7 linked regions of the Mus musculus genome follow. The protein of the gene in region 2 purifies or fractionates together with the protein of the main gene of each other region. This does not show direct contact. Links are inferred from orthologs where the notes say so. Each region holds a gene or a part of one and is shown on either strand. Other genes may lie near its edges. The genes, in order: Psma4, Nfkbia, Rel, Nfkb2, Rps3, Cul1 and Arrb1.

The links.
Region 1: the proteins of Nfkbia (region 2) and Psma4 purify together in Homo sapiens (affinity purification with western blotting; 3 studies listed by BioGRID and IntAct, with this or other methods). This does not show direct contact. The link is inferred for Mus musculus from reciprocal best matches to the Homo sapiens genes NFKBIA and PSMA4.
Region 3: the proteins of Nfkbia (region 2) and Rel purify together in Homo sapiens (affinity purification with mass spectrometry; 6 studies listed by BioGRID and IntAct, counting the BioPlex papers as one, with this or other methods). This does not show direct contact. The link is inferred for Mus musculus from reciprocal best matches to the Homo sapiens genes NFKBIA and REL.
Region 4: the proteins of Nfkbia (region 2) and Nfkb2 purify together in Homo sapiens (affinity purification with mass spectrometry; 6 studies listed by BioGRID and IntAct, counting the BioPlex papers as one, with this or other methods). This does not show direct contact. The link is inferred for Mus musculus from reciprocal best matches to the Homo sapiens genes NFKBIA and NFKB2.
Region 5: the proteins of Nfkbia (region 2) and Rps3 purify together in Homo sapiens (affinity purification with western blotting; 4 studies listed by BioGRID and IntAct, with this or other methods). This does not show direct contact. The link is inferred for Mus musculus from reciprocal best matches to the Homo sapiens genes NFKBIA and RPS3.
Region 6: the proteins of Nfkbia (region 2) and Cul1 purify together in Homo sapiens (affinity purification with western blotting; 8 studies listed by BioGRID and IntAct, with this or other methods). This does not show direct contact. The link is inferred for Mus musculus from reciprocal best matches to the Homo sapiens genes NFKBIA and CUL1.
Region 7: the proteins of Nfkbia (region 2) and Arrb1 purify together in Homo sapiens (affinity purification with western blotting; 3 studies listed by BioGRID and IntAct, with this or other methods). This does not show direct contact. The link is inferred for Mus musculus from reciprocal best matches to the Homo sapiens genes NFKBIA and ARRB1.

What each region holds. Positions count from the first base shown.
Region 1 is NC_000075.6:54,949,120-54,953,688, reverse strand, and holds the start of Psma4 (proteasome subunit alpha type-4), read right to left. Parts: upstream 2,831-4,569; 5' UTR 2,786-2,830; exon of another isoform or gene 2,735-2,785; intron 2,346-2,734; exon of another isoform or gene 2,261-2,345; intron 1,608-2,260; 5' UTR 1,584-1,607; coding exon 1,581-1,583; intron 1,349-1,580; coding exon 1,306-1,348; intron 1,011-1,305; coding exon 848-1,010; intron 1-847. Other genes in the region: AY074887 (cleft palate-related protein 1), read left to right, coding at 2,850-3,248. UniProt on the Homo sapiens protein: Component of the 20S core proteasome complex involved in the proteolytic degradation of most intracellular proteins. This complex plays numerous essential roles within the cell by associating with different regulatory particles.
Region 2 is NC_000078.6:55,489,751-55,494,032, forward strand, and holds the start of Nfkbia (NF-kappa-B inhibitor alpha), read right to left. Parts: upstream 2,898-4,282; 5' UTR 2,777-2,897; coding exon 2,550-2,776; intron 2,029-2,549; coding exon 1,920-2,028; intron 1,581-1,919; coding exon 1,370-1,580; intron 1,110-1,369; coding exon 1,021-1,109; intron 917-1,020; coding exon 656-916; intron 220-655; coding exon 172-219; 3' UTR 1-171. UniProt on the Homo sapiens protein: Inhibits the activity of dimeric NF-kappa-B/REL complexes by trapping REL (RELA/p65 and NFKB1/p50) dimers in the cytoplasm by masking their nuclear localization signals.
Region 3 is NC_000077.6:23,746,968-23,750,793, reverse strand, and holds part of Rel (proto-oncogene c-Rel), read left to right. Parts: intron 1-1,902; coding exon 1,903-2,043; intron 2,044-3,826. UniProt on the Homo sapiens protein: Proto-oncogene that may play a role in differentiation and lymphopoiesis.
Region 4 is NC_000085.6:46,308,691-46,312,912, forward strand, and holds the end of Nfkb2 (nuclear factor NF-kappa-B p100 subunit), read left to right. Parts: coding exon 1-64; intron 65-174; coding exon 175-384; intron 385-464; coding exon 465-606; intron 607-964; coding exon 965-1,079; intron 1,080-1,152; coding exon 1,153-1,366; intron 1,367-1,517; coding exon 1,518-1,687; intron 1,688-1,806; coding exon 1,807-1,909; intron 1,910-2,033; coding exon 2,034-2,185; intron 2,186-2,318; coding exon 2,319-2,388; intron 2,389-2,591; coding exon 2,592-2,764; intron 2,765-2,890; coding exon 2,891-3,002; intron 3,003-3,079; coding exon of another isoform or gene 3,080-3,082; coding exon 3,083-3,204; 3' UTR 3,205-3,400; downstream 3,401-4,222. Other genes in the region: Psd (PH and SEC7 domain-containing protein 1), read right to left, coding at 4,009-4,222. UniProt on the Homo sapiens protein: NF-kappa-B is a pleiotropic transcription factor present in almost all cell types and is the endpoint of a series of signal transduction events that are initiated by a vast array of stimuli related to many biological processes such as inflammation, immunity, differentiation, cell growth, tumorigenesis and apoptosis.
Region 5 is NC_000073.6:99,480,755-99,485,146, forward strand, and holds the start of Rps3 (40S ribosomal protein S3), read right to left. Parts: upstream 2,956-4,392; 5' UTR 2,868-2,955; coding exon 2,838-2,867; intron 2,179-2,837; exon of another isoform or gene 2,031-2,178; intron 1,947-2,030; coding exon 1,816-1,946; intron 1,601-1,815; coding exon 1,507-1,600; intron 1,038-1,506; coding exon 943-1,037; intron 1-942. UniProt on the Homo sapiens protein: Component of the small ribosomal subunit. The ribosome is a large ribonucleoprotein complex responsible for the synthesis of proteins in the cell. Has endonuclease activity and plays a role in repair of damaged DNA.
Region 6 is NC_000072.6:47,523,156-47,526,644, reverse strand, and holds the end of Cul1 (cullin-1), read right to left. Parts: intron 3,442-3,489; coding exon 3,359-3,441; intron 2,947-3,358; coding exon 2,841-2,946; intron 2,129-2,840; coding exon 2,015-2,128; intron 1,092-2,014; coding exon 1,011-1,091; 3' UTR 501-1,010; downstream 1-500. UniProt on the Homo sapiens protein: Core component of multiple cullin-RING-based SCF (SKP1-CUL1-F-box protein) E3 ubiquitin-protein ligase complexes, which mediate the ubiquitination of proteins involved in cell cycle progression, signal transduction and transcription.
Region 7 is NC_000073.6:99,597,707-99,601,532, reverse strand, and holds part of Arrb1 (beta-arrestin-1), read right to left. Parts: intron 3,043-3,826; coding exon 2,972-3,042; intron 1,733-2,971; coding exon 1,681-1,732; intron 1,530-1,680; exon of another isoform or gene 1,178-1,529; intron 436-1,177; coding exon 324-435; 3' UTR 1-323. UniProt on the Homo sapiens protein: Functions in regulating agonist-mediated G-protein coupled receptor (GPCR) signaling by mediating both receptor desensitization and resensitization processes.

The sequences.
Region 1 (4,569 bases), on a different chromosome or scaffold from region 2:
CAGACTCCAGCAAGCAGCTCTCACACAGATGGCCCTGGTAATGCCAGTGAATCAAAACAGACAGACATAAATATTTGTGGGGAGAAGGGTGGGAGATGGGAAGGTAAGAATAGGTTGTGAGAGTGGTCAGTGTGCTTGGTAAACACATCCAAAGCTGTAATACATAAACAAATAATTAACTAGGCCCCAGTGCCAAGTCTTCAGCCGGCCTACCACTGATGGCAAAGTCTCTATATAGCACAGCCAGTCTTCCACCAACAACCAAATCCCACAGCCAGCTCCAAGTACTCAAACTGGACAGAATCAGACTGCACCCTGTGGCTGAACTGTGTCAGACCTCCACGAGCCTTGTTCTTTGGTAAAGAGTCAGGATAACTGTACAGAATTCCTGCGTGCCATTCTGAAGGGCATCCTGAGGCCCTGCTTTACACGGTGGCACTGTGTTAGTTTATTTCACTATTTTGTTTCATTTGATTCCCATAACCACTCTGATCCTCAAGAAGTTAGATAATAGGTGTAGCACCTTGTATCCATGGACTTTAGATTTTAAACCAAACCTGTGTGGCCAGAAAATACATACATACTTTTATCACTGCACAGTGCTATTTTGCACCAAGTGTTTATCTTTGCATTTCAAGTGAATTATACACATAATGAACTGAGATATAATGGGCTGCAAGGAGATGTCAAGCAAAATAAAGCAAATACACAGATTTTTACAAGAAAAATAATAAAACTGCTCATTTCAGTTCTATCACTTCACATAGAAGATCCCTCCTTAAATATGCAAATCCTGAGTACGCTGTCAAGTGCAATAGTTCAAGCTCTTCCCCATGATCGCACTTACTCATTAAGTTTATAAATTTTCTCAGAAAAGAAGACTTCATCAAGAAGCTTGTGGATGTTGCGCCTCTCCGCTGCAAGCAAAACTCCATCATTGGCTAAAATCCCCAAACAGGTGCCTGCATGTCCAATGGCTTCCATGGCATACTCCACTTGGTATAAGCGACCTACAAAACAGTGAGACACCACGGTTCCTCTCGCTCTTGCACCACTCATCTGAGAGAAATCAGCAATGACACAGGTAGGCTGGCATCAACAGCCCTGCATTTACTCGCCCACAATGCATGGCGTAATGAACCTGGTGACAAGTTATCTCCAAGAACCAAAGGAATGAAGTCAACTCCAAAATGTGTGTAGCTAAACGTCACACTAGACCCCAACACTAAAAATATACTACTTAAAGCAACAACCACAACAAAATGCCCCAACCTTCTTTGGAGCAGGTTAAATCTTCTAATTTACCTTCTGGAGAAAATATTGTGGTCCTGGAGTCATATCTTCGAGACTGCAAAGGAAAAACAGAGATGATGCCTGTTCACTGACATACGCCAACTTCCGGATGTCCATGCATTGGATACAATGACACCCTGGTGCTGAGTTCAGTGGAAAGAAGACGGAAGACCCCATTCAACTCCCTCTACCCCTTTGGTTTCATTTTCTTCCATGTCAGGCTGTGAGCTTCAAACAAGCCATAATGTTCCCAGGCAAAAGTTAAAGGAAACGTGTCATGAACTCACCATGGTTTCTGAACTTTATGTTGATTCCTGTGAAAAGAAAACAGGATCATTAATAACAAAACCCCCACAATTTTAAGAAGTGTCTTCCACTGTTAATACCACTTGATCCACACCATCACTCAGCTAACATGAACTGCACCACCACTGGGACCTATACAGATGCTGGGCCACCACAATAAAGGTAAACCATGGTGTCCTGAAAAGCTCAGAATCTAGCAGCCAGGTATGACAGACAAAGATTATAAAGCAACATGGAAGAGACATTCAGGGTGGGGAGGGAAAGCAGAATCGACAGCAAGTAAGATTTTAGGAAACCAATACAGATAATGAGAGTAAATTAGAGGTGGGAGAGGCAAAGGTAAGTTGAAAAGCCTCAAGTCAAAGAAAAAGAATTGTGAAGGGGTGAAGGAAGGGCATTCCAAGTAGAGCAGGCTGAGAAAGGTTAACAAAGTGGATAATTCACATGGTCCTAAATTTGGGGGTGTAGGGGTTAGGTGGTAAACCTGGTCCTTATTTCCGTTTCTTCGAAAGACAGCAATGGAAACTCTGCCTTAGTAGAAAAATGGCAGTTCAATTCCTATGTTGCCAAATGGGATATAAGGAAGGCATCGTGGCTGGAAAGCTAAGCAGACATTTGAAGGGTCTGCGCGCCCAGATGTTAGAAAACACCTTTATCTTACTTAAGACCGCTTCACCGACGGGCTGGATTCAAGGACCACGGGAAGTGACATTTTAGAAGAGTCGTCAGGCCTAAGGAGAGTTAACCTGCCAGGAGTCGGTTCCAACATGTAGGAGAAACAGAAAGGTGGCCCTGAGCACAGCAGCCAGGAGGCCACGGCGGGTTTCGGATTCGACTGTGAACACAGCTACCTCCACGCCTGGCGCCGGCGCTACAAGACTTGGACTTTCCCCCGCAGCGCCACTTTCCCGAATTGACTCTCTGGGCCGCAGCCGCCCCCACCCCTCGCACCGGCCCGGAGGGTCTCAGAGCCCAGGCGAGCCGTCAAGGCCCCGCGGGGATACCCGACGGCGGCCGGCGGGGACCAGTCCCTGGCAGGCCGGTCACCGAGGAGGCGGGTGCAAAGTCATCGTGCCCACGGCTCCTCGGTGGCGGCCGCGGGCCTGGGCCGTGGTCTCCACGCAGATGGCCCCCGCCCGGGAGACAGACACCTCGACTCCGCGGCCCCTAAAGGACTGAGCCTCACCAGAGGAAGACGGTGAGGGTGCAGATCAGCGCCTCTTTACTCAGCTGGAGAAGAACCAACCCGGATGGCCAAGCATCCGCGGCGAATATGGCTCCCGCGCGTGCGCAGGACTGCGAGGGGGCGGGGCGGGGCGGGAGGACGCGGAAGTTCTCCCAGTGCTGGGGCGGGCTCAGTCTGCCCACGTGGACTGTGCAGAAGCACAACCTCGGCTTTGGCTGCGGTCTGTATTAGAGGAGGACTGGAGGGAGGAGGGAAGCGTCTATACCGTGGAGAGTGGAACCAGATTCCTCCTACGCTTTGCACTCCACTTTCGTTTTCTCTTCTGTACCATTCTAATGGAGGCCAGAGTAGCAACTGTATAGACAAATCAAATCGTTTACTCTTCCAGTCTTGCCCCTTAACAGTTTTTCCTTTGTTCTTCCTCTTAGCCTCATTTTCTCCTTTCTCAGATCCAACTCTTTAATTGGGATAACTTTTGTTCTAAGTTTAAGACTTCTCTTCGCCGGGCAGTGGTGGTGCACGCCTTTAATCCCTGCACTTGGGAGGCTGAGGCAGGCGGATTTCTGAGTTCGAGGCCAGCATGGTCTACAGAGTGAGTTCCAGGACAGCCAGGGGTACACAGAGAAACCCTGTCTCGGACAAAAGAAAAAAAAAAAAAAAAAAAAAAAAAAAAAAAAAAAAACGAAAAAAAGACTTCTCTTCATCCATTTCTCCTTTCCAATCTTACCTAGTTTTTGTGCCTATGTTGGGGGTTGAAGAGCTAGTGGGTTGACTATGTACAGGGCCTTTGTCTTCTGTGTAGGCAAAACGGTTGGATCTGGGTTTCTTAAAGGGGGAAGCTTAGAAATTTAGTTGCATGTAGACGGGACCTGGCCTGTACTCAGGACCTGGTTTGCCCTGTAAATTCCAAGCCAGCCAGGGATATATAGTGAGACTGTTTTAAAAATGAGAGAGAGAGAGAAAAAAAGACCAAAAGGTAAAATATCCATACAATGCAGCATATATTTAATTTCAAACAGAAATTAGCAATATTTGCAATAGGAATTTAGTGGAGAATCTCTCTTAGCAAGAACAATCAAGAGAAACTTGCAGAGTTCCATTGTATAACAGGATAAACACTGATTTGGAATGAGACCCAAGTTCCAGCCCATTTTTCTGGTCCTGATTGGCCAAGTTAAATAAAAACCTCAAATATGAGTATCCTAAGTGTTTCACATGTGAATGATCTCATGTACTGCCCCCATGTGTGTGGGTGTGGGTGTGGGTGTGTAAAAACAAGGAAGGAAAGGCAGCAGGATGGGATTTTGTAGTGATTAGGAACAGGGGTAACAGCCCAAAGACCTAATTCAAGATCTAAGCCTGAGCTCCCTTCTAAAGCAATAAATCAGCTTTTCAAGGCTCTATTTCTTTATTTAAAAATGGAGATTAATCATCAGAATATCTTTGTGATTCTGTTCTGGATTAAATGAGGTAGTGCATGTAAAATAACATTCAATAATCATTGTAGTATAGTATATTCTACTGAAAAACTAATGAAGCAGGAAAGACAAAACCGCTCCAGATTTGTTAACCTAAAATCCTGATTTGTGAAAGCAGCAGGGCTCGATGGCTGACTGTGAGAAGGGCAAGCAGCGTGCCACACCAATATTTTGAGTGTGCGTAACCTGAAATATGATCCATTATTTAGTAACTATTTATTATGCCTCTACTATGTGCCAGAGTCTATGCTAAGAGGCTGCCATAGCCTCTTAAAAAACCCTCACAATTGACTCTCTAAGTACAAA
Region 2 (4,282 bases):
AGACAACAGCCGAATCACCCCAGTAAAATGCCTGGGTCTAGGCGCTGTGTGGTGTGGTGCTAAGTATACCCTTTCTCATTTTTTTTCTTTTTCTTTTTTTTTTTTTTTTTAGAAAAATAAAACTCTATTTGTACAAATATACAAGTCCACATTCTTTTTGCCACTTTCCACTTATAATGTCAGACGCTGGCCTCCAAACACACAGTCATCATAGGGCAGCTAAAACAAGAGAGGGGAAAAAGACATATTAAATTCCTAGAACTTCACCAAGACATTGGGATAAGGGGAGAGCTGCTGCTGAAATAACTCCTATTCTTGGGCTCTTTTTCTCCTTAACCCAAATAGAACAAGGGCACCAGGCTGTAGGAGTTTCCCTTACCTATTCTTTCCTTAAAAAAAAAAAAAGTCTAAGCTATTGAGGGGGTGGAGCTTAATGGTTGAACGTGTGCTTATCACCATGTGCTAAGGCCTGGGTTCAATTTCTAGAATTCCCTCATTCCTCAACCCAAAAGGGTAAGCTCTTAAAACAAACCAGAGACAAATTCTTGGGATCCTGGCTTTGCAAGCCGAGTCTGAGAAGTTAAACAACTGAAATCCCTCTGATCCAAAGCAGCCCTAGAACAGCCGTCAGCGTGCTGAGGGGAGGAACACTCACCTCATCCTCTGTGAATTCTGACTCCGTGTCATAGCTCTCCTCATCCTCGCTCTCGGGTAGCATCTGGAGATTTTCCAGGGTCAGCTGGCCCAGCTGCTGCTGTATCCGGGTACTTGGGCGGCCCCAGGTAAGCTGGTAGGGGGAGTAGCCTTGGTAGGTTACCCTGTTGACATCAGCCCCACATTTCAACAAGAGCGAAACCAGGTCAGGATTCTGCAGGTCCACCGCAAGGTGGAGGGCTGTCCGGCCATTGCAGGGCTCCTGAAACCAAAAGCAATCAGGCGTTAGTTTACGGCTGCATCTGGAAACCTGCTCACCATCAGAGCCAGCCCAACAGAGATTAGGTGGAAGGGAGATGTACTCACCTGAGCGTTGACATCAGCACCCAAAGTCACCAAGTGCTCCACGATGGCCAGGTAGCCGTGGATAGAGGCTAGGTGCAGACACGTGTGGCCTGGAGGAGGAAGACAAAAACTGTAACTACGTGTTTCAATCCTCACACAACTCATGTCTATTGTCTTGAGGACAACCACAAACATCATCAGTTTTGAAGAACTCAGAATCTGGGTTCTGAGTGAATATCATATAGGCATCGAGGAGAAAACTTTTTAAAAAGATCACAGTGTCTGAACTTTGTATACGTTCGGAGTTTAAGACTCAAGTGGCCCCATCTCTCTCCCTCCTCTGCATCCTTGGATGGACTGGCAGACCTACCATTGTAGTTGGTGGCCTGCAGGACGGAGTGGAGATGCTGGGGTGTGCAGGTCTGCGTCAAGACTGCTACACTGGCCAGGCAGCCCTGCTCACAGGCAAGATGTAGAGGGGTATTTCCTCGAAAGTCTCGGAGCTCAGGATCACAGCCAGCTTTCAGAAGTGCCTCAGCAATTCCTGGCTGGTTGGTGATCACAGCCAAGTGGAGTGGAGTCTACAAATGGAAGAGGAAACAGAAAGGGATAAGCCATGGAGCAAACCCATAGTCTTGAGTTTCCTGAACCCCAGACACCTCCCGCTATGGAATCTGATCCTCCCATTTGTCTCTTAGGAGATCAGGCAAACAGGAGGCCCTAGGTGGGTCATAAAGACCTCACTAAACCCAAGGGATTTTTCTTCTGGTTCTAAGACGTTGGCTGATTTGAATGCAAAAGGCCAAGGCAGATAAGAACTAAGTGACTATTAATTTAGAAACGCTTTGGGGGCGACCGTGCTACATCTGACTCCACCAAGGGGTCAAAGAGGGCACCCGCGGGGCAAGCAAGCAGCGCACCTGCTGCAGGTTGTTCTGGAAGTTGAGGAAGGCCAGGTCTCCCTTCACCTGACCAATGACTTCCATGGTCAGCGGCTTCTCTTCGTGGATGATTGCCAAGTGCAGGAACCTGAGGGATGACAGGGAAACCCCCCGAGGGGTGGTGAGCACACTGCGTGGGGGGGGGGGAGGCGCGGGCTGGAGGTGGGGTTGGAGGGGGGATTGCGCAAGGCCGGGGTTTCTGGAGGCCGCGGCCGCGGTGTTTTCCGCGAGGTTATTATGAGCTGAGTGTTCCTGGCAGCCGCCCAGGGACTTTCCGTGCCCCACCCCCTCCGGGCGGGCGCCGGCCAGACCGGCCCGCCCTCCGCCGCCCGGAACGCCCTGTACTTCCCCTCGCGGCCGCGCGGCGCCCGGCGGCTGCGCGCCACCGCTGCCAGGCCGGGACTTTGCGTCCTCGCCGCCGCTGCCGCCCCGCCCCCCCCGGCCTGCGCTCGGCGACTCCGGGTCCGGGGACAGGGGAGGAGGGGGAGGGGGGAAGACAGGCGGCCCGCCGCAGCCCCGGCGCCCCGCAACCCCGGCGCCCTCGCCGTGCAGAACCCCGAGCGCGCTGCAGGCCCCGCGCGACCCCCACCGGTGCCCGGCGCCACTTACGAGTCTCCGTCCTCCGTGAGCTGCTGCTTCCAGGGCTCGGCGGCCAGCGGCGCCTCCTGCGGCTGCAGGCGGATCTCCCGCAGCTCCTTCACCATTTGCTCGTACTCCTCGTCCTTCATGGAGTCCAGGCCGCTGTCGTGGCGATCGTCCACCAAGCGCTCCTTCTTGAGGCCATCCCGCGGGCCCTCCATGGCCCAGTCCTGGCCGTGCCCAGCTGGCTGAAACATGGCTGTGCGGGGCTGAGCGGGTGCAGGCTGCAGGCTGCTGGCGGCTGGCTGGCGAGGTCTGACTGTTGTGGGCTCGGCAGCGCCGCCGCGGCGCCCTATAAACGCTGGCAGGGGATTTCTCAGGGGCGGGGTCAGGCGCGGGGAATTTCCAAGCCAGTCAGACTAGAAAAAGAACTGGCTCGTCCTCCACTGAGAAGCCTAAACCCAGGGCCGGGGTTCATCGGAGAAACTCCCTGCGATGAGCCACTGGGGTCATGCACAGGGAACTTTTTGATGAGCCCTGAGTGGCTGGAAAGTCCTCCCGACCAGGCCCCCTCCCTCTAGGTACTTCCCTGCAGCCTGCACTCAGTAACCCCAGCCCTCTGCAAGAACCCTTCTTTCCCTGGGGTTTCCCACCGGGCGATTTTGGTTTGGGGTCCCAAGCTGCGCAGCTTCCAAGGACGCAGACCTGCTAGGCTGTTCCTCTTAGCGATTTGCCAGTTTGCAGGTCTTTTCCGGTTTTTGATCTTTTTGAAAACCCAAGAGTGGAAACGCTGGCTAGGTGCAGGGATTCGCTTCTCCTAAATTTCTGCGACGACGGACATATGAGTGGTTCCGGGGCCGGCTGTGTTTTGTCTGTTCCAGGCCCTTTGCAATGCAGGGACATTTGGCTGTCCTTCACTCCTACTCCATGAAGCTGTAAAAACTTTGGCATTAAAACAAACAAAACCACCACCACCACCAACAAAAACCAAGAGCTTGGAGAACCCCTAGATTATTTCCTAGGGGTCAATAATCTTGCCCCCCCCCCCGGGGGAGGGGCAAATCCTAGCTCCGTATGGGAACCACATTTTTCCCCAAGTAATGCAAGCTGTTAATCTTAGTAGAAGTTGTAGTTTCCTTGCAACCGCAACTGTTGCGTTCTTGCTGTCGGAGTTAACTTGTTGCAGAGAATGAAGCCGGAGCTTATTGTGAATGCCTAGCAGAGCAATTGACTTAGTGCCCTAGCCAAGGCTGGCCTCTCAAACATAGCTAAAAAAGTAACTGTGAGGTATCCTGCAGGAGGCTCAAGATAGTCCTAACACAGACCCCATCTGAAACCTGCTGCTTCTATCAGCTTCCTTGCTCCCAAGGGACCGCGGCATTATGGGTAGCTGCTCCCCCAAGAAAGGGATTTGGGCCTGTGAGCCTCTAGTTTAACCGGCAAAAGTACAAATGTTACTTCCACCCCACCCCTACTTAGGGAAAATTAAAGCAACGTGGATCAGAGTTTGTCAGACCAGATCCAGGAGGCCTCTCTAGTTCTGCATAGATTTCTGGTGAGATGTGAATGATCTTTTTCTTAATGAGCCTTATGTCAGCTTTCCTCTCTTTGGAATTCCAGCGCCTCCCCCTGAGTATGCATGTGAAGACACTGAGGGAAAAGATTCAAAATCCAGGAAAAACCAAAAAGCCTCCAGACAGTAAGGGCCAGGTTAAAGTTAAAACTTCCTCAGCGAATTCTCCTTTTCCTCTCAGTGGCAAGTT
Region 3 (3,826 bases), on a different chromosome or scaffold from region 2:
ATACAGTCTTTCATGTAACCTCAAGGCAAAGAAACATTTCCCCCACTCCCAAATTGTCTTTGATCTTTCTCAATCATTTCTTTCCTTCCAGCTCTTGCCCCAGTCAACAGCTCATCTCCTTTTTGTCAGCACACCTAATTTTTCTAGGGTTTTATAGAAATGGAAGTATTCTTTTATATTCTATATTCTTTCCTGCCTGGCTCCACTTGGTCTTACTGGTTTTGCAGTGTATATTGTTGGAAAATATAACCATAGTTTGTTCTTTATTGCTGAGTATTTGTTCATTGTATGACTATACTACAACTTGTTTCTATTAACAGAAATTTATTTGTAAACTGTCAGGAGCACCTAGCCATTCATTGTTTTTGTCTGTCTGTCTTTCTGTCTGTCTGTTTTGTTTTAATATTGATTACTCACTTTGAAATGAAGACACTGAAACCTTGAGCTCTTAAATTTATATTGCTATTAAATGAGACTTTCAGTAGTCCTGCACTCTTACTGCCTGTCCTGGTCCCAGCAACTGTGCTACTGTGATACAGGTGCTGCCCTCTTAGCATTTTGAACCTCATATTTTCCCCTTGAACATGGTATGAGGGTGCGTACCTAGGTATGGAGGCAAAAGGACTGCCTCAGATGTTTGCCTCCAACATTTTCTGCCTCCCTTTTTTGAACTGGGGTTCTCATCTGCGGGCTTAGATGGCGACCAGTACCCTGCTTCTGCCTTCCTGGCACTGAGAATATTATCAGGAGCCTGACTACTACTGCACCTGGCTTCATTGCATGGGTTGGAGGGTTGAGCTCATACTTGCAAGGAAAGTACTTTACCGACTGAATCATCTCTCTCAGCCCCATTTTGACCTTTCTAGTTGTACAAGTATGTTTTCATAGACTCAAATGTTAGGCTTAAGAATGCTGATACTGGAATAAATTTCAGTGTTAGCATAACTCCTGAGACTATTTGACTGGCTTTGTGTGAGATATGTTTTTTTAAATAAGTTATCACCTGTAAGACTGGGGAATTTAGCTAATTATTTTTCATATTTAATCTTTTAATTTTAATACTAGTGTCCTTTCCAAGTAAATTTTTCATGTAATTTAATGAATTTTATGTTTTTAAAATATGGCATATATTAGTAACAATTTATTGCTATAGGCTTAAAATATTTCAAAACGCAGCAATATTTTGTTTTAGAAATGGGCTTCTTTTCAAATATCAATGCAAAGAGACTATTGTACTATATTCTGTGGCAAGTTTTTGTATTTTTTTTTCAGAACTGTAAAAATGCCCTGGTGTGCAGTTTGTTTTTAAGCTGACTTGACTTACACATAAAGTTATATCATCTGATATCTTTTTCACATTGCATCTCTAAAATGCTGGTGCAATATGTTAATAAGTTAATATGACCCTCTGCTTCAAATTTCCATGCTATTATTTAGCTGTAAAATTTATTATTTAGACAAATAATGTCATCTCCTTAAAATCAATGTCTTACCTATAAGAACAGGGATGATGGTGATTTTTGCTAGATTTAGAACGTAATTACAGACTGGGCCAAGTGTTATGTTAAATGAAGTATGCATGTTTCCCATTGTCTATAACTTGTATCCATATTTAAGATTTTTGATTTTGGTGGTCAGTTTATGATTCTGCCCTTAAGTTCCTAGTCCCTGGTATAGTCTCTCTCTGAGCATGGCTACAGTCTGTTATATACTGTTAAATAGTAACTGTACAATAATGAAAACTGTTCTTGAGATTGAACCCCATCTTAGTTTTCTGCAGACGTAGGTGCGGGTTAAGGTTATTGGATGTTGTGGGCAGAGAGAAAGACAGCAGGATTTTGGTAATAATAAAGTATTAGTATTATGTGTTCTACATTCTAAATCTGAGATTGTACTGTTCAGTCCCTGAACAGCAGCTGCTGGACATTGAAGACTGCGACCTCAATGTGGTGAGGCTGTGTTTTCAAGTTTTCCTTCCTGATGAACATGGTAACTTCACAACTGCTCTGCCTCCCATTGTTTCTAACCCAATTTATGACAACCGTAAGTGCTTTAATTTTCTTATGTCTGTACTTTTAGCTTGTTTCATTTCCTTAACTGCTGAAAAGTTTAAAGGATTTTTGCAATTTGAAAAGGAGTATGTTAGGTGGGATTGGTGGTTTGTGCATATAATTCTAGCAACCAGAAGGCTGAGGCAGGAGGATAAAGTTTGAAGGCATAATGGACTACACATTGAGACCTTGTCTCAAGAAACAAGAAGAAGCCAGGGGTGGCGGTGCATGTCTTTAATCCCAGTACTCAGAGATAGAGATAGGCAGATCCCTGTGGGTTCAAGGCCATCCTTGTCTACCCTGTGATTTCCAGGATTACATAAAAAGATCCTGTCTCAGACAAAAAACAAACAAATAAACAAAGCACTGTTCATTATAGAAAAAAAAACCCTCAAGCATATATACATATATAAGAAAGAAGAGCAAATCACCATTAGTCTCCTCCTAAATGGCCACTGTCCTCAAGCATACACTGTAGTCCCTTTGAATAAGCACAGACACCACCATCTTCCTCATCAACCCCATTCACCCACTAAGTTTGGCAACTTAAAAAAAAAGATCAATGATATTTTAAAAAAAAACAACTTTTTTTCAAGCCAGTAGTGGTAGTGCATGCCTATAATAATAGCACTTGGGAAGTCCAAGCAGGCAGATCAGGAGTTAAGTTTTCCTTTACCATGTTTAAAAATGGGAATTCAAGACCCTACTGTGTCACATGGGATCCTTCCTCAATAGATAGAGACAGAAAATCCCAGAACTTTTCTCTTTGCAATGTATCTTGAACCTTTTTCAATCACTTTTTCTTTTCTTTTTTCTTTTTAAACACTGCTGGCATTTAACCAGGACATTGTACAGAGCTATACCCCAAACCCCACTTAGGTTTCCAGTAGCTGAATATTTATCTCCTTCCTTCCTTCCTTCCTTCCTTCCTTCCTTCCTTCCTTCCTTCCTTCCTTCTTCCTTCCTTCTTCTTCCTTTCTTTGTGTTGCTTTATACTTTTTTCTTTTTCTTTTTTCTCAAGAAAGGGTTTCTCTGTGTATCAGTCCTGGTTGTCCTAAACTCACTGTAGATCAGGCTGGCCTTGAACCACAGAGATCCACCTGCCTCTACTTTTGCCTCTGCCTCCCAAGTGCTGGTATTAAAGGCCAGTGTCACCTTGTTCAGAAGCATATTTTTTTATATGTCTATATATTAATTTTAAGAAATCATTAATATGGAGTATAAAAAATAAAAAAGATGACTTTTAAGAATCATATTTAAGAATATATTTGGTTTGTTTCCTTTTGTAAGCAAATTATACCAAAGTAGATATATTTATGTGTGCATTTAAAGACAACTCTCTATGGATCATGTATCTGCCTGTTTATATGTGTGTGGTCAGAAGACAACTTACAGGACTTGGCTGTGCTCTTTCATCATGTGTTTCCCTGAGATCAAACTCAAGTTGTCAGGCTTTGCTGCCTTAACTATGTCACTGGCTCCTGAATGTTTATCTCTTATGCAAATATTTCTGACATTTATTTTTAAAAGAATAACTTTTGACAGATACCTACATCAAAGGATATAGAAGTTTATTTGAAAAGATTTTAAAACTTTCCTCCAAAATATTTTGTGTATATACACACACATTCACCAGTAGTATATGCCACACCTGATTTGCATGTAGAATACTGGACCATAGGAGTATAGAGGTAGATTATTCTTAACAGAGAGCCTTGGGTACCTTTAAGAACTATCATAATAATATTCGGAAGATAAATGAGAACTGCATTGCC
Region 4 (4,222 bases), on a different chromosome or scaffold from region 2:
GGCGGATCCCACATGGGTGGAGGTTCTGGGGGCTCCGCTGGGGGTTATGGAGGCGCTGGAGGAGGTGAGGAGGTGCAAGTGGCAGGGAGAAGGATGGAGGAGATAAGGGAAGTTAGGAGAGGAATCTGGGAGAGTCCTGGCTGGCACCTCACACTGCCTTCCCCATGCCCACAGGTGGCAGCCTCGGCTTTTTCTCCTCCTCCTTGGCCTACAACCCCTACCAATCCGGTGCAGCCCCAATGGGCTGCTATCCGGGTGGGGGAGGTGGAGCGCAGATGGCCGGTTCTAGACGGGACACCGATGCTGGCGAGGGGGCAGAGGAGCCCAGGACGCCCCCGGAGGCTCCCCAGGGCGAACCACAGGCCCTTGACACACTGCAGCGAGGTACATCTCAGGAACGCTGGGGGTGGGCGCGCGCCAAGCTGGGGATCTGGCCCGCACCCACGCCCCCTGTCGCCCCCTAGCTCGCGAGTACAACGCGCGCCTGTTCGGTCTGGCGCAGCGCAGCGCCCGAGCGTTGCTGGACTACGGCGTCACCGCAGACGCGCGTGCTCTGCTAGCGGGACAGCGCCACCTGCTGATGGCACAGGACGAGAACGGAGACACGTAAGCAACCAGAGGACGGGCTTCCGTGGGACCTCCAGTGGCTGGGGTCTTCTGCTACCAGGTCTAGATGTTCGGGTAGAGGAATCTACAAAGAGCTGAACCCTAGGCTTGGACAGATCTGGTCTCAGGTCCTCGCTGTTTTCTACTTCTGTTCAAGATATTTACTCTCCCCGACCTTCAATTTTATTAGCTGTGAAGGGGTACAAATAGCAAGGTGTGACAAAAGATTAAGATGATGACATTTAGGTTTCAAGGGGCCTCGGTAAAGGAGACCGCGGAAGTGTGGAGTTTTGAGGGCAGATGTGCTGCTCTGGGTGGCTGGGTTTCTGAAGACAAAGTCTCAATCTCCAACCCTCAGGCCACTGCACCTGGCCATCATCCATGGGCAGACTGGTGTCATTGAGCAGATAGCCCACGTCATTTATCACGCTCAGTACCTCGGCGTCATCAACCTCACCAACCACCTGCACCAGGTAAGGGGAAGCCTTTGGTAAGAGGTTGAAGGCAGGGAGTCCAAAGCTGGCCTAACGCTGCCTCTCTCCTCAGACGCCTCTGCACCTGGCGGTAATCACTGGGCAGACAAGGGTGGTGAGCTTCCTGCTGCAGGTGGGTGCAGACCCCACGCTGCTGGATCGGCACGGAGACTCCGCCCTCCACTTGGCTCTCCGGGCAGGTGCTGCAGCCCCAGAGCTGTTGCAGGCACTGTTGCGCAGCGGAGCCCATGCTGTGCCCCAAATATTGCACATGCCTGATTTTGAGGGTAAGTTTCCAACCTACTCCTGTCCTGGGAACAAGGGTGGGGACCGAGGAGTGTATATGATCAATAAACACGAGCGGAGGTTGCCTGGTCAGAGTGCATCCGGAGGCCATTTTGAGGGTCAAAGCTGCAGGCGCGTGTGCTATTTCTCTAGGACTATACCCTGTACACCTGGCAGTCCATGCCCGAAGCCCTGAGTGCCTGGATCTGTTAGTTGACTGTGGAGCTGAAGTGGAGGCCCCAGAGAGGCAAGGGGGCCGAACTGCCCTGCATCTAGCCACAGAGATGGAGGAGTTGGGGCTGGTCACCCATCTAGTCACCAAGGTAGGAATGAGGACTATGGAAGGGATGGGGCTGCGGACTGTGGGAGGACCCGGAATGATGATCTGCGTGGCAAGGGCTTGGCTGGCTGGACTATGCTGCTCTCTGCTTGCACCCTACAGCTCCATGCTAATGTGAATGCCCGGACCTTTGCTGGAAACACACCCCTCCACCTGGCAGCTGGACTCGGGTCCCCAACTCTTACTCGCCTCCTTCTAAAGGCTGGTCAGTTTCACCATTGGTGTATGAAGGGCAAGGGGGGGAAGGGGGAACCCCCAGCTCCCCATGGTTCAGTCCTCAATGTAGGAGCCTCCACTAGTCTCTCCTGAGGACTGCCTCCCTCCCCCAGGTGCTGACATCCATGCAGAGAATGAGGAGCCTCTGTGCCCGCTGCCCTCACCCTCGACCTCTGGGAGCGACTCCGACTCTGAAGGGCCTGAGAGGGATACCCAAAGAAACTTCCGAGGCCATACCCCTCTTGACCTCACTTGCAGTACCAAGGTGAGGCCACCCTTGCAATAGAAGTACTGAGGTGGGGACTGGGGACCTTCTGGACTTGGGGGTGTGTCCCAGATGATGGACCTAGGGAAAGCTGGGCTTAAGGTCCGGATGACAGTCAACACCATCTCCCCAGGTGAAGACTCTGCTGCTAAATGCTGCTCAGAACACCACGGAGCCACCCCTGGCCCCACCCAGCCCTGCAGGTGAGGTTGCAGTGGTCTCAGGCACCTCCTTCCAGAGGTGATATCCTTAGGGACTCTGGCGAGGGCTTCCTTTGTCTAGCTCCTCTTCCATGCCCCGTTGATCTGTCCACCATGTCTGTCAGGTTACAAGGGAGAGAAGCTGTCTGGGTACGTGTCCCTGCACACCTATTAGCTAACTCACAGGTCCGTATTTGTCCCCTAAGGGCCAGGGCTGTCCCTGGGGGATGCAGCCCTGCAGAACCTGGAGCAACTGCTGGATGGTCCCGAAGCCCAGGGCAGCTGGGCAGAGCTGGCAGAGCGACTGGGGTTGAGAAGCCTGGTGGACACATACAGGAAGACCCCGTCTCCCAGCGGCAGTCTCCTTCGTAGTTACAAGGTGAGGCAGCCTGTACCCTGCCCTGAAGCCTGAAACCTTGGCCTCTCAGAGTTCCCTCCCCCACCAAGACTCTCTAACCCCACACCCTAAGCATCACTCAGACCTCCTGTCGCCTTTTCTCGGCAGCTGGCTGGTGGGGACTTGGTGGGTCTATTGGAGGCCTTGTCTGACATGGGTCTCCATGAGGGAGTCAGGCTGCTGAAAGGTCCTGAGACCCGCGACAAGCTGCCCAGCACAGGTAAGGACAACCACCTTGGAAGGTGTGTCTGGGCTGAGGGGAGAAGGCATGAGGCTTGACTCTCCCCTGTTCCCTAGCAGAGGTGAAAGAAGACAGTGCCTATGGGAGCCAGTCAGTGGAGCAGGAGGCAGAGAAGCTGTGTCCACCCCCTGAGCCTCCAGGAGGGCTCTGCCACGGGCACCCCCAGCCTCAGGTGCACTGAATGGCCCCGGTCAACTTCCACCCAGATCCCTCTGTACAGCATCCCTGTCTAATCGAAATCTTATTTAAACCTCAAGCCCACATCTCGGTGGGTCAAATAAAGGGGAAGACCCCTCCCCAACTTACGGTACAGCAACCCCAATGTGCTGCCCATCCCAGTCCCTGAGCGAGAATAGAGGAGGAGGCCCAGCCAGCAATTCAGAGCAGTTTTAATGAGGGTGGAGGCTGTACAAAGGGTAGGGCCCACCAAAGAAGGGAAGCAGGCCGTGCCACCCCAGCCTGTGGATGGGGCCTCAAAGTGGATGCCCTTCCTCTGTCTCTGCAAAGAGAGAGGTGAGCCCTTGGGGAGGAATAGGGGGACCAGCTCAGCCCCAACTCCTGGCTTCTGTCTGAGCCAGGCCCCAGGATGGAGGGGTGTTGCTGGTGTAAGGGTGAGGTGGTCTCAGCAGAAAGCAGAAACTTGATCAGGCCTCCCCCACGAAAAAAAAAAGGAAGAAAAAAAAAAAAGAAAGAAGGAAAGGAAAGGAAACCCCCATCAAAAATTAGGGGCATGGGCCCCTCCCACCCTTCCTGTACGAAAAAGTGCAAAACATTATCACAAAAAGGGGGTCTCTGAGAGGCCCTCAGCCTAGGCTCTGAGGCCCGGCTCAGCCCTGCCCTGCCCCGGACACCGCGTCCGGCGCGGTCGGGCCCTGGACCAGGAGGCCCTCGTGGCTGGCCCGAGGCTAGCTGAGCTCAGGCAGGACCGTGTATGTCATCATGCAGGTGCCCAGCGGGCACTGCCCCCATCGCTCCTATGCCCTGCTCAGGGCTTTGGCCTTGTACTGCCTGCTCCAGCCCGGGTTTCTGAGCCAGGACGCTGAGCCCGGGGCTGGCTGGTGGGCTTGGGCCGCAGGGAAGGACTGGAGTGAGGCGGAGGGCATCCATCCTCCGTGCTCCCAGCCTGGGCCAGGGCTGCCTCTATGGTGTCCAGCTCCTCGCTGGCTGCCTTCATCTTGACTCGAAGCAGTGCTGCATAG
Region 5 (4,392 bases), on a different chromosome or scaffold from region 2:
TTCGAGGCCAGCCTGGCCTAAGGTCACAGAGAAACAAAATCCGGTTAAAGCCAGGTGTAGTGGCACACACCTTAATTTCAGCAAGCAACCTGACTTGGAGGTCAGCTAGGCTATACAGTGAGACCCTGACTCTCAACAAAGAACCAAATTGGCCTTCTCAACATCTAATCCTTATAACAAAGGCAAGGTTGTACAACTCCTGAAACAATGTCAGGCCCCTTACCTGATCGTTACATCACTTCTCAGTGCCATAAAATTTACAGGAAACGTTGGGTTTTTGAGAGGGCCTCCCCTGAGACTAGCCTCTGTTTTGAGGCTAAGGCTGGCTTTGGAGCTTTGCATTGCTGATTTTCTACCTCCAGTGCGAAGATTGGGGGGTAGGCATTATGAACCCTGGCCAATTGCTAGTGTAAATGTCTTTCCCTTTAGAACTGCTATCTCTATATCCACACAGTGAATGCATTAGTTAGTAGAGCTGCATGACTTCTAGCTTGTTTTGAAACCTGCACTGCCAAAGCTACAACTCCCAACCAGATACTCCTCCCAGGTACAGTAACAGGCAGGATGCTTTCCTGCTCACCTATCAAGGGTCCTTGCTAAACCTCACAAAGCGGATGCCCCTCCCTGTTATGATTCTATCTACTCGTTTCATTCTCAACATACCCACAGCATTCCCTCGTCAGAGCACTGACCATTTTTTCGGGGCTCATCCCACAGCCCAGGCTGGTCCTCCCAGTGCTGGCATACAGGCATGTGTCACCAACAATAGGTCCTTCATCCACCAGCCTACTACTAGCCTAGTTAGCCTAACTAGGTTCAGTGGGGGGATGGGCTACACCACCAGAGACTAGATGATTCTGTCAATCAAGTTATTTGCTAACAAAAATGCTAGCACACACTAATCCACAGGAGGGCATGACCATCAAGTCTCAGGACACTCACCTTCGAACCGCAAGCCCTCCAAGGAGTTTGTAGCGTAGAGACTCTGCCTGGGCAATGGCACACAGACCTCTTGTGGCCACTTTCTCTGCATAAAGCTTTAAAGAAAGCAAAGTACATTCCTGTCACTCACCCATCTTCAATTAAGCCATTGTAATATCCCTTAGATACTCAAGTACCACGACTACCCACACAAGGCAGCGATGAAGGCTGAATCGCCCTTCTACTCTGGTTCCTCACAACCACACTAAGGATAGCCAGTCACCCATGCATTATTTCTACATTCGACCACCAGAATATCATACTGTTTGTGGTTTAAGACAGGGTCTCACTACAGCAGCCCTGACTAGCTCTGCCCCGCCGTCATCCTGCCTTCTGCGTGCCAGGACAAGAATATGGGCCCCCGCCATGCATGGCAATCGCTCTGCTTTTAAGGAAATTTTGGCAGAGCATCAAGTACCTGTGACTGTCACTGGCCATGTCAGGTTTTCAGAAGTACAATTCTATAGCAGAAGCCACATCCCAACTCAGTCTAAAACCCCCGGGAGATAAAGCAGAGGAACTCACCTCTACGCTGCCTTCAGGGAAGCCAAAGCGCTTCTGGACAACTGCGGTCAACTCTCTGATCCGACGACCCTTCTCCCCAAGAACATTCTGTGTCCTGTAGAGGGGAAGCGCAACCATTTACTCAAGATCCCACCTGCCGCCCACCACAACGCCAGCACACACGTTAAATGGAAGGTAAGTTCTTCCCAAATGCAGTTCTAACAAAGCAGTTACACCCACTGAGGCCAGATTTACTGCTTGGTTGGCCCAAGTTTACACAGCATCTCAGTACACACAGTATTTACAGGTGACAATCAATGGTATTTCTACCTGGTGGCTAAAATAATGATTTCTGTCCTGGTTGGTGTAACTCGGACTTCAACTCCAGAGTAGCCATCTTCAGCCAGCTCCCGAGTGAGAAATTCATTCAGCTCAGCTTTGAAGATGCCATCAGCTACAAACTGAACCAAAGGAAACAAGTTACCTCTGAGGTGAAGACAGGGTTAGTCAGAGCAAGCCCAATGGCCCTACAGAAAAGCAGCAACCCTTCTCAGACAAATGCCTCTTGGTCATCTTTAGGAAGTTTCTTTTGACCACAGTGCTTTCAGCTGTGCCACAGAACGCAGCATAGTGAGGCATCTTGGACAAAGACAACACTTCCTACTCAGACTCGTCATCACCTCTTCATCGAAGGGCTCTACGGCATAATCTACACCCAAGAGACAAAGAAAAATCTGTCTCCAAGTAGCACATGTACAGCTGGGACTGTAAGTTGTACCTCGGATAGGAGAGGAATCCTGACTCAAAACAGGTTTATCATCTGTGTGCATAAGCACAAACGACAGACCATCTATTTCTAAACCTGGCAACCTGCACACTTTTCCCCCATGAAATGATAACCACAGGGACGCTGCAGCTCCGGGTCCCGAGTGAACACGGCAGCAGTCAGTAAGTAGGCTTTCAACTATGGCCACTTGCAGGATCACGCGACTAAGAGAAGGGACTGCTAAACTTCACTTACTAAAGAAACTGGACTAGATCTGATGGCACACGCCCTCTAACTGTGCCACAGGATTACTATTATGGAGACCAAGAAACGCTCAAAGGTGTCTAGTCCGGAACTGGAGGCGCCCGGTGTTCGAGTCGGTCCAGAACTCGAGGAGTTTGTCCCTCCCTTGCCCAGGCACACAGCACTCGCCCGGCTCCGGCCCAATACACAATCTACGGCCATCCGAGGCTCGAAGAGACGGCAGGCGGCCCCAGACGCTCCACAGGACTGATCACGGAGCCACAGGCCTCCCTGGCACTTGTAGAACCCGCGGCGGACTCCCGAACCGGGCCCAGACGCTTACCTTCCTCTTCTTGGAAATCTGCACCGCCATCTTGCAGCCGCGCGCCGCTGAAAGGAAAGGAAGTGGCTCGCGGGCGGAAGTAGGTATATAGGGCGGGAGCAATGACGCCGCGCAGCGCGGCGACCCTTGCAAGTGTTCATGGGAAATGAAGTTTTGCATGGGAAATGAAGTTTTGCGTCTAAAACGGCGTAGGGGGGGTGTAACCTAGCAACCTGTAATGTAGGCGGAACAGGAAGTAGACATCTAGTTCCGGTCTGAAAGTGCTCTGTACTCAGCAAGCTTGGGGTTCCAGCACTAACGAAGTAGAGGGTCACAAGTTTAAGGTCATCATTGACTACATAGCGAATTCGAGGCCAGCTTGGCCTTTATGAGTTTCTGACTCAAAAGTAAAAACGTAAATAAATAAAAAATTTGAAAAGAGCAACCTTCAGACTAGAGGTGCAAACCACAGGCATAAGCACACACTAACAGATTTTACCACCTTCACGTTCACGCTAATGAAAACTTTCATTGAAATGTATTTAGAGGACCAGCTGGATGGCTCAGTAAGTTACAGAGTGAGTGGGACAGTAGAAAACCATGGCTGCGTATACATATATGCAAGCATAAAACACATGCGTGCGCACATGCACACAGATTTAATATTATTACAAAGGTAAACCCTGATCCATGAGATGGGCTTATTTGTAGGATTTCTGGTAGTGAGCACCTCCACTAGAACCTGTGGGAAAAAAAAATTTTATTTTTTGGTTGTTTTGTTTTGTTTTGTTTTTCCGAGACAGGAACTTTTTTGACTCGCAGCAGGGTGGAATACCAGCAGCAGGGGCTTGTCAAAATAATAAAGCACCAGGGCTTCGGGGACAGACTGTTGAATAGTATAAATCTAGGCCATAGGACCTTCCCTTCACACAGACCCTGATGTCCACACAAGCAAAAGTTCATTGCCCAGAGGCAGAACCTGCTGATATAACTTGTACTGCAGTGTGTGGCTCACTTCACACTGGAAACACGGGAGTCTGTTTCACCCTGTATTAATCCCACGGAACAAAAGTAAAAACTATTACTTAAACTCTTTTAGACAAATTAAGCAAGTTTTATTTTCTATCAGACAGGGCTATCTCCCTAAAGTGGAGTTTTAAAGAATAGCATCAAACATAGAAGTGGAATTTATATAACTCAAAATTTCTAAGACTAGGTGGTTTCCAAGGGAAGAGAGATTTCCAGGGGAATGTTGGCTACACAGGAACTTGGCAGAACATCTTATCAGGGTGGAAGTCAGGGTATAATGGAGTATGGAACATGTCAAATTCCAGAAAATGGGTTGACGACAGGATCAAACCCAAGTGTTACAGAAAACAGGAATGAACTTATTTTGACCTTGTAACAAGATGGCTTCTAATCATGGGACAGAGTCAGACTGGTCTGTCACCTGATGAAGCTGTTTCTCCATTTCTAGTGCACCACAGCCATGGCTGCCTTCTTATAACTATCTCCTTGTATCTGAAGACCTGTGCCAGCTACCCTGATGGCCGTGCTCAGAAAATTCAATGATGCC
Region 6 (3,489 bases), on a different chromosome or scaffold from region 2:
CTGAGAGCAAAGGTCGGTGCAGTGCCTTGTGGCAGAGTCCCTGGAGGTCTGAGGATGACCCTGGGCTGGACTGGATCTGAGGAAGATGAGAGCCTTCAATCCCTGGCCTGGGCCCTCCTTCCGGGGACATCCTGGGGTGAATATGGCAGCCTCCTTGGAAAAGCTTCACTAGGAGGGACCTGGAATGAGAGAGATTCTCAGTTCTCACACACAAGTGGAGAGGGCTGACCATCCTCCTTGGTGGCCAGGGAGTTTCCAATAATTTAGATGCAGTGATACAGACCAGCTTCTACACCTGTCTTAGTATTCATTTAGTCCCTGCAGAGTTGACAGCAGCAATCTGGAGTATGGTACCTCTCAAACGCCATACTCACGGTACTGAATAAGTCTCAGAAAACAAGGGTCAGTGCCCAAAAAGATTAAGGACTTTAAAAATTAAGATCTTAATTTCCAATCCAAAGAATGCAGCCCTTTTGGATTTCAGGAAGACAATGGGAATATACACTTGCACAATCATTAAATCTTTTATTTACATATAGAAATTAGAAAAACTTAAAACAAAACCAAATGCAACTTGTACAGAAATCCTTTAATTTTCTTTATTTTCACACATTAAAAAAATGAAACACACTATACAAATGGTTTTCATAGCAGATTACACGTGGGTCCATTCAGACTCGCTCTCGTGTGCTGCCTCAGACGACAGCTGTTAACCAGGGAGCCAATGTATTGATTTAAGTGCGGTAGCATGCAGCCTCAGCATGGAAGGTTCGGTTCCCCTCTGTCTGTGAGTTAGGGTAAATGGCATTGGCGTCTGTTTACAGACTGAAATGTGTCAGTCAGTCCTGAGCAGTCCTGCTGTAGCCTGAAACCAGCTGGTGGGAACTGTGGTCTCAGCTTTAAAAATGAAGGTCCAAATGGCGGCAGGCTGGCTGCTATGAACTTGAGTTGTTTCCATTTTATTCACTGGAACTATCTGCTTGTGGGTCATGCAGACCCTGCTAGATGGGTTAAGCCAAGTAACTGTAGGTGTCCTTCTCACCATCGACTCGCTCCAAATATTCTTTTTCGATGAGAATATCAATGCATTTCTGGGCATTGTTTTAGGAAGAAGAGGGAGTTAAAGGGGGAGAGAAATGAAAATAACCATCAGGAAAGAGGTCTGTCACCCTCACCACAGTTACCCTCCACTGAGCTCAGCAGGAAGCAAATTCAACCTGTCTATTGTCCTGAACCCACCTGAACCTTCAGCAACACCTGTGGGTGACTGCACCCCCACCCACTCCAAACTGCCCTGTGCATTAAGAAGGCAAGGGCTCTAGCACATCTAGGCCACAATCTCCCTTTTTAACAAAGCCTGGCTGCTTCTGGGCAGGACTCTGCTGTCACAGGTCAGGAGCACAGGATGGGTGAGTCAGAACTTGAAGAACATGCTAGCATGGTGCTAATAGCTCCTGACCACTGAGGACTCACCATGCATCGCCATCCCTGGGTTCTCCAATGGCTGTGGCTTACCCAAGTCGTTTCAGAAAAGGAAAGGTCTGCTGAGTTATTGCCATCAGAAAACTTGGCAAATGAGATCATTAGTCCCCTAGATACAGGGGAGTATGTTCCTGCTCGGAAGCAGAAATGGACAAGTATTTCCCAACAATGCAGCCCCAATGAGTCCCCTCATACTGCCAGGTGGGTTCTCAATAGAGAACACTGTACACCACTTCCCACCAGGCAAAATCAGCCAAGGCTGCAGGACAGCTAGCTCATTGCCAGAGAAACATAGGATAGGGGAGGAACATGTGACTTCTTGGATGCCTGTGACGTACTCCTCATCAGAATATCAATTATAAAAGTATATTTATGACACATATGCCTCTTATATTTACTTCAAGAATGAAGTTAGCTGACTTTCCTTTGTTGAAGTTTTTTGTATGAATGAGTAAGCCAGTTCCCATTTTCATGAAACAGCCATTAATCCTTCTGCTACAAGTTTCCTAACCATGCTCTGTAATTCCTGTACCTTGATCACCGGGACCCGAGGTTTGAACCTGGAGGAGAGCTGAGTGAGGACTTCACCAAGTAACTGCTGGTGTTTCAGGACCTTCCTCATTTTCATGATTCTCACGATGGCCGCCTATGCAATCAACAAGAAAAACACATGCTTAGAGGTTTAACAGCTGAGCATGAAAGTTCAAGGCAGCCTGTACCACCTCATACTCAACTTCCATGCTAGGGTAACAACTATCCTACAGGTCAGGGAGGGTACAAGCAATCAGCTCTATCCATCAGCTTTATCCATTAAAATGTTTTGTCTAAGGGGCTAGATTGATGGTGCAGTGGTTTAAGAGCACTGAGGTCTTCCAGAGGACCTGGTTTCAGTTCCCAGGACCTATGGAGTAGCTCACAACCAAAGAGATGCAGCATCCTTTCCTGGCCTCTGGGGACACCAGTAGCATACATGAACCCTATCTATATGTGACTACATATAGACAAAACATGCATATACACTAAATGTAAATCTTAAATATTTTGGAGGGGCTAATTTTGGCCAACTATAAAGCACTAAAGAATAAAGAAAAAATGGATCTCTAAAGGAATAGAAGGTCCCCTTCCCCCCAATCTCCTGTTTCTTTAATCTGCCACATATTACCTGCTTCCCAATACTTAGGCAAGAAGATTAGACTACTTTTGTTTGGAACATAAAATACTTCATCCCTCAGACACCAAGTGCTGGCTTCAGGCATTGTCATCTTTGGCCATCACCGAACTGTCATTCTGGCAGCGTTTGAGCACATACAAGGCCAGCACGTTTCCCTAAGTGTACAGTGCAGACATGGTTCAGTCACCTGAATCAGTAGTTTGCGGTCTTCCTCTATATTTTTGTGTGTAGTTTCTTGTTCCTGCTTCTGTTCAGTTTTCATTGGTACATTGATATTAACCCTCAATTTCTTACTGTCAAGATAACAGAGGAAACAGGTCATTGAAAAGTCTGCTTCCTGTCTTTCAACTACACGTTTTGCATCCCTGGACTGGGCAGGTGGTTCACACCCATCTCTTCTATATCATTTCTCATCATTTCTACTGCTACCTGCGAACTGCCCCTCCACCAATGCTATGTAATTTTACCACAGAGGGATGACTGAAGTGACACTTGACCCCTCAATTTAGTGAATTGTAATAACACCAAAATAACTTGATATAAAGGTCTAAACATGCCATATGAGCCACTCAAGACTTATTTTCAAGATAAAGAAAATCAAACTCAGCATTAAAAGCAGAGTCCAGTTCCCCTGGCTCGTGCCGATCCTGAAGTAGGCCAGTGCCAGGGGATAAGACCAGCAGCTACATGTTAGATTTTTCTTACTTTTTATAACCAAGATATAACTTTATTAAGGTGTCTGGCTTCAATTCCACCTCATCAACATTGGCATTTTCATCTTCTAAGACCTAGAAGAAAATAACTGTTACTAGGCACATCCTAGGGAAAGGGTGTCT
Region 7 (3,826 bases), on a different chromosome or scaffold from region 2:
TTCACACCCATCATCATTGTGCCTTCAGGCCCCACCCTCCCCTTTCTGCTCCCCATCTCAAGCCAAATCCCAAGGCCAGGCAGTGTGGCCTTCCTGGGAATGAGCATGAGAAGGAGGTGGGCAGGTGATTGCAGAGAGATGGCTGAGGACGTGGTCCTGCTGGCGTGGTGATGCGAGAGGCCCATCACCGAGACTTGGAAGACCACTGGGGCCCCTTGGTAGAAACTGGAAGAACAAAAGGAAGAACCAGAATGGGAAGGAGACGAGAAAGCATCCGAGTGCGAGAGTGAACCTGGAGCTGCCGGGCTGAGGCCGGCCCTAGTCTATCTGTTGTTGAGGTGCGGAGAGCCGGTGCCGTCATCCTCTTCGTCCTTGTCATCCTTCATGCCTTTCAGCCGCTGGCGAGCAAAGTCCTCAAATACAATGTCGTCATCACTAGTGGGAGAGACAAGGAAAATGCCGTGTGTTTGCAGAGGTAGACGACAGGCAGATCCAGAGGCCTGGCCAAACGATGGGAGGACTCAAGAGAGAACCCCTGATCTCCAGGGTCTCTGGGATGACCTCAGGCAGAAAGGCGTGCCTGGCTGGCCCATTTACAAGCCCACTGATGGCTGTGGGGGTTCTCACAAATAAACTGCAAAAAGCTTGCCTCTCAGTGCATAAGGGCTAGAAAAGCAACCCTGTTCCTGGGGAGATGGAGAAGGTAAGTAGGGGGAGCAATGTGGCTCTGCGTCGGAATCCCCAAAGAACAAGCCCAAGAAACCCTATTTCACCCCTCCAAATCAAACTACCAAGACTGCTTTAGGGAGGGTAACTGTTTCAACCAGGAAGTTGGTGTTGGGTTCTAAGGAAGGAGAACAGGTCTTTCTCCTAGAAGATCTAACCCACATCCCCGGAGTCCTAGGTTGGAGAGGGACTTTGGAACGGGGCTTGGAAGATGGTGAGGATATGAGGACAGAGTGATGGGGAAAGGTGCCTGGTTTAAGGTTGCAGGACTAAGGACTGTTTCTTTCTTTCCACCATGACCCTTTGGCCCAGGCAGAGGCAGAAGTCCCTGGCCCCCATTGAATTCAGTCAGCTGAATGGGTTTCCTCAGGGCAACATCAAACCTCTGTTTCTCAGATCTCACCAAAGAATCAAGGAAAGGAGGTTTGGGAAGCTGGAAGGAGAAAGCCACCTGGCCCCAGAGGCGATTCAAGCCATTGAACCAGGTCCTCTTCCTCTGGCCATTGTTTGGTGCCCCATGGCCTTCCACCGCAGGGGAGTCCGAATCGGTTGGTCCTCAGGCCGCAAGAGTGACAGCACCCAGACACCTTCTCCACCCCACAGGCAGCCTCCAACTGGCTTGGTCGGGTAAGAGAGGGGAGCCCCAGAGTCTGAACCAGCCCCGTGTCAGCCAGCTGGGTGGGTGCTGCAGACGGACGGACTGACTGACTGACGGACGTACAAGGAAGACAGACCCCACCAATGCAGGAGGAAGAGGAACAGGCATGGAGGGTCCTTCAAGTCACATGCAGGCAAGCAGGTTGCTGAAGAGGTGAGCAGAGGTGGCTCTCAGCAGACAGGTTAGACCAGCTGCTCCTCAGAGGTTGATTAACATTTATGCAAATGACCCCTCCACCTCTCCCGTCCCACCTCCAGCCCCTCCCCAGACAGCACAGGCAGGAAGGTTCAGCTTACTTGGTGTCAAGCTCTATGAGATTGGTGTCTACTGGAGTCTCGCTCTCTGGAACTGAAAATATACAAGGCTTGTGAGGTACCCAGGGGTAAGTGGGGTGTGGGATGAGAGGTGAGGGATGGGACAGGGACCACACGCACATACACACACACACACACACACACACACACACACACACACACACTCCTCAGACTCTCTAGATAAGATGGGGAGGGCAAGGAAGGAAGGTGAGTGAGAAGCCTCCCAGGTCAAAAACCAGCAGATGTGGGAGGGAGGCATCCATGCCCAATGAACACCCTGCAGGAAGCAGGTCTCCAACGTGAGACACATTCACTTTTTGCTTCCCTGAGTTCCATTTACCCTAAGATCATTTTGCAGCCCTGGCTGGCCTCAAACGTGATCCTCCTACCTCACACACTTCCCTCTGCTGAGATTATGGGCATGTGTTATCACACTGCCCTGTTTTTGTTTTTGTTTTTTTTTTCACACTGTAACCTCTCTGAATTCAGAGTGCCATCTGCGGCATCTCACCGACTACTCATAGGCAGACTCCATTTGTGAGAGGGACTGTAACATCCCTTGCAATGGAATGTAGTCAATCTGTTACCTCCTTAAAAACTCAACTAATGCCGGGTGTGGTGGTGCACACCTTTAATCCCAGCACTTGGGAGGCAGAGGCAGGCGGATTTCTGAGTTCAAGGCCAGCCTGGTCTACAAAGTGAGTTCCAGGACAGTCAGGGCTATACAGAGAAACCCTGTCTCAACAACAACAACAACAAAAACCAAACCAAAAAAAACCCTCAACTAATATGGGGACTGAGCATGGTTCCGCAGTTAAGAGTACTGGGTCTTCTGGTTGTGGGTTCAGTTCCCAGTACCCACAGGATGTCTAACAACCATCTGTAACTCCAGTCGCAGTGGATCTGACGCCCTCTTCTGGCCTCTGAAGGTACTGCATGTATATAGTACACAGGCATACATGCAGGCAAAATACCCATACACATAAAATAAAAATAAATATTTTTAAATCATAATAATTTTTAAAATTAAAATCCACCAGTGTGGCTTGTCCTCCACTCCGAACCTCCCTGTCCCATGGAGAATAGCAGTCAGGGCTCTCTGCCCCCCTAGTTGGGTCAAAAGCAAATAATAGTTGTGTTGTAGGCCCTGCAGAAGACTGGGAGCTGGGGAAAGGATGACTCTGGGCTGGAGGTTAACCCAGAAAGAAGCAGAGCAGTGGGGTAACAGGGAGGCTGGTAAACCCCACCCCAGTGGCCCACAGGTCCTACTCACCTTCCCGATGTGGGGGCTCCTCCTTAGGCTTGGGGTGCATTAGGGTAAAAGGCAGCTCCACGGCCACATCACTGAAACACACACCCCGTCCAGCGAGCTCGGTGAGTGCCTCAGAGAGAAAGACCTGCTGCCCTGTCCGTCTGAGGCCTGGGGAGACCATGGGCTGGGCACCATGCCCGCTGGGGACTCACACCATGGTCAGTGGGTAACCAAAGTGGCCTGGGGCTCTGCCCATCTCAAATCATCATGGCCTCTTGACACCACCCTTTCCAATTTTCTCCCAGTCCTGCCCACCCGCCTCTCTGCCACCCACAGGTTTCAGGAGCTGTCCACACCATAGGCAGACGCTGACACCTCCTGTGTGTGCCTGTGAAAGAGCTGGTCACCAGTCATTGTTGGTGACCAGGCCTTCCCTGACACTGTCCCTGGTACACAGGTTGAGGACAAGAACGGGCATTTGCATGATACAGAGTGTACCAAGCCCCTCCTTAGAACAACTCCTGCGATCCTCTTCACTACAGCCCTATTATTAAGATGCCCTAGGTTTAGGCACTCAGAGATTAGCCTCTTGCCTCAGGCTGCACAGCTATTGGCAGTAAGTGCAGAAAGACTCTGGCTCAATCACCCATCCCCTTAGCCACTGGATGATAAACAGAATTAAAAGACTGATTAAACGTAGCCCTGAAGGCTCCTCACTGCTAAGGGTGGCATATCTTAGCAGAGCCTCCCTAAAATTATGAGTGTCTCCAGAAAACACAACCACATCTTACTGGTCATGTTGCCAGCTGTGAAGTGGGAAGGGCCTGGGTGTGATGGACTGGTACAAGCCAGATACAGTCAGCCTTCCATGAAGCC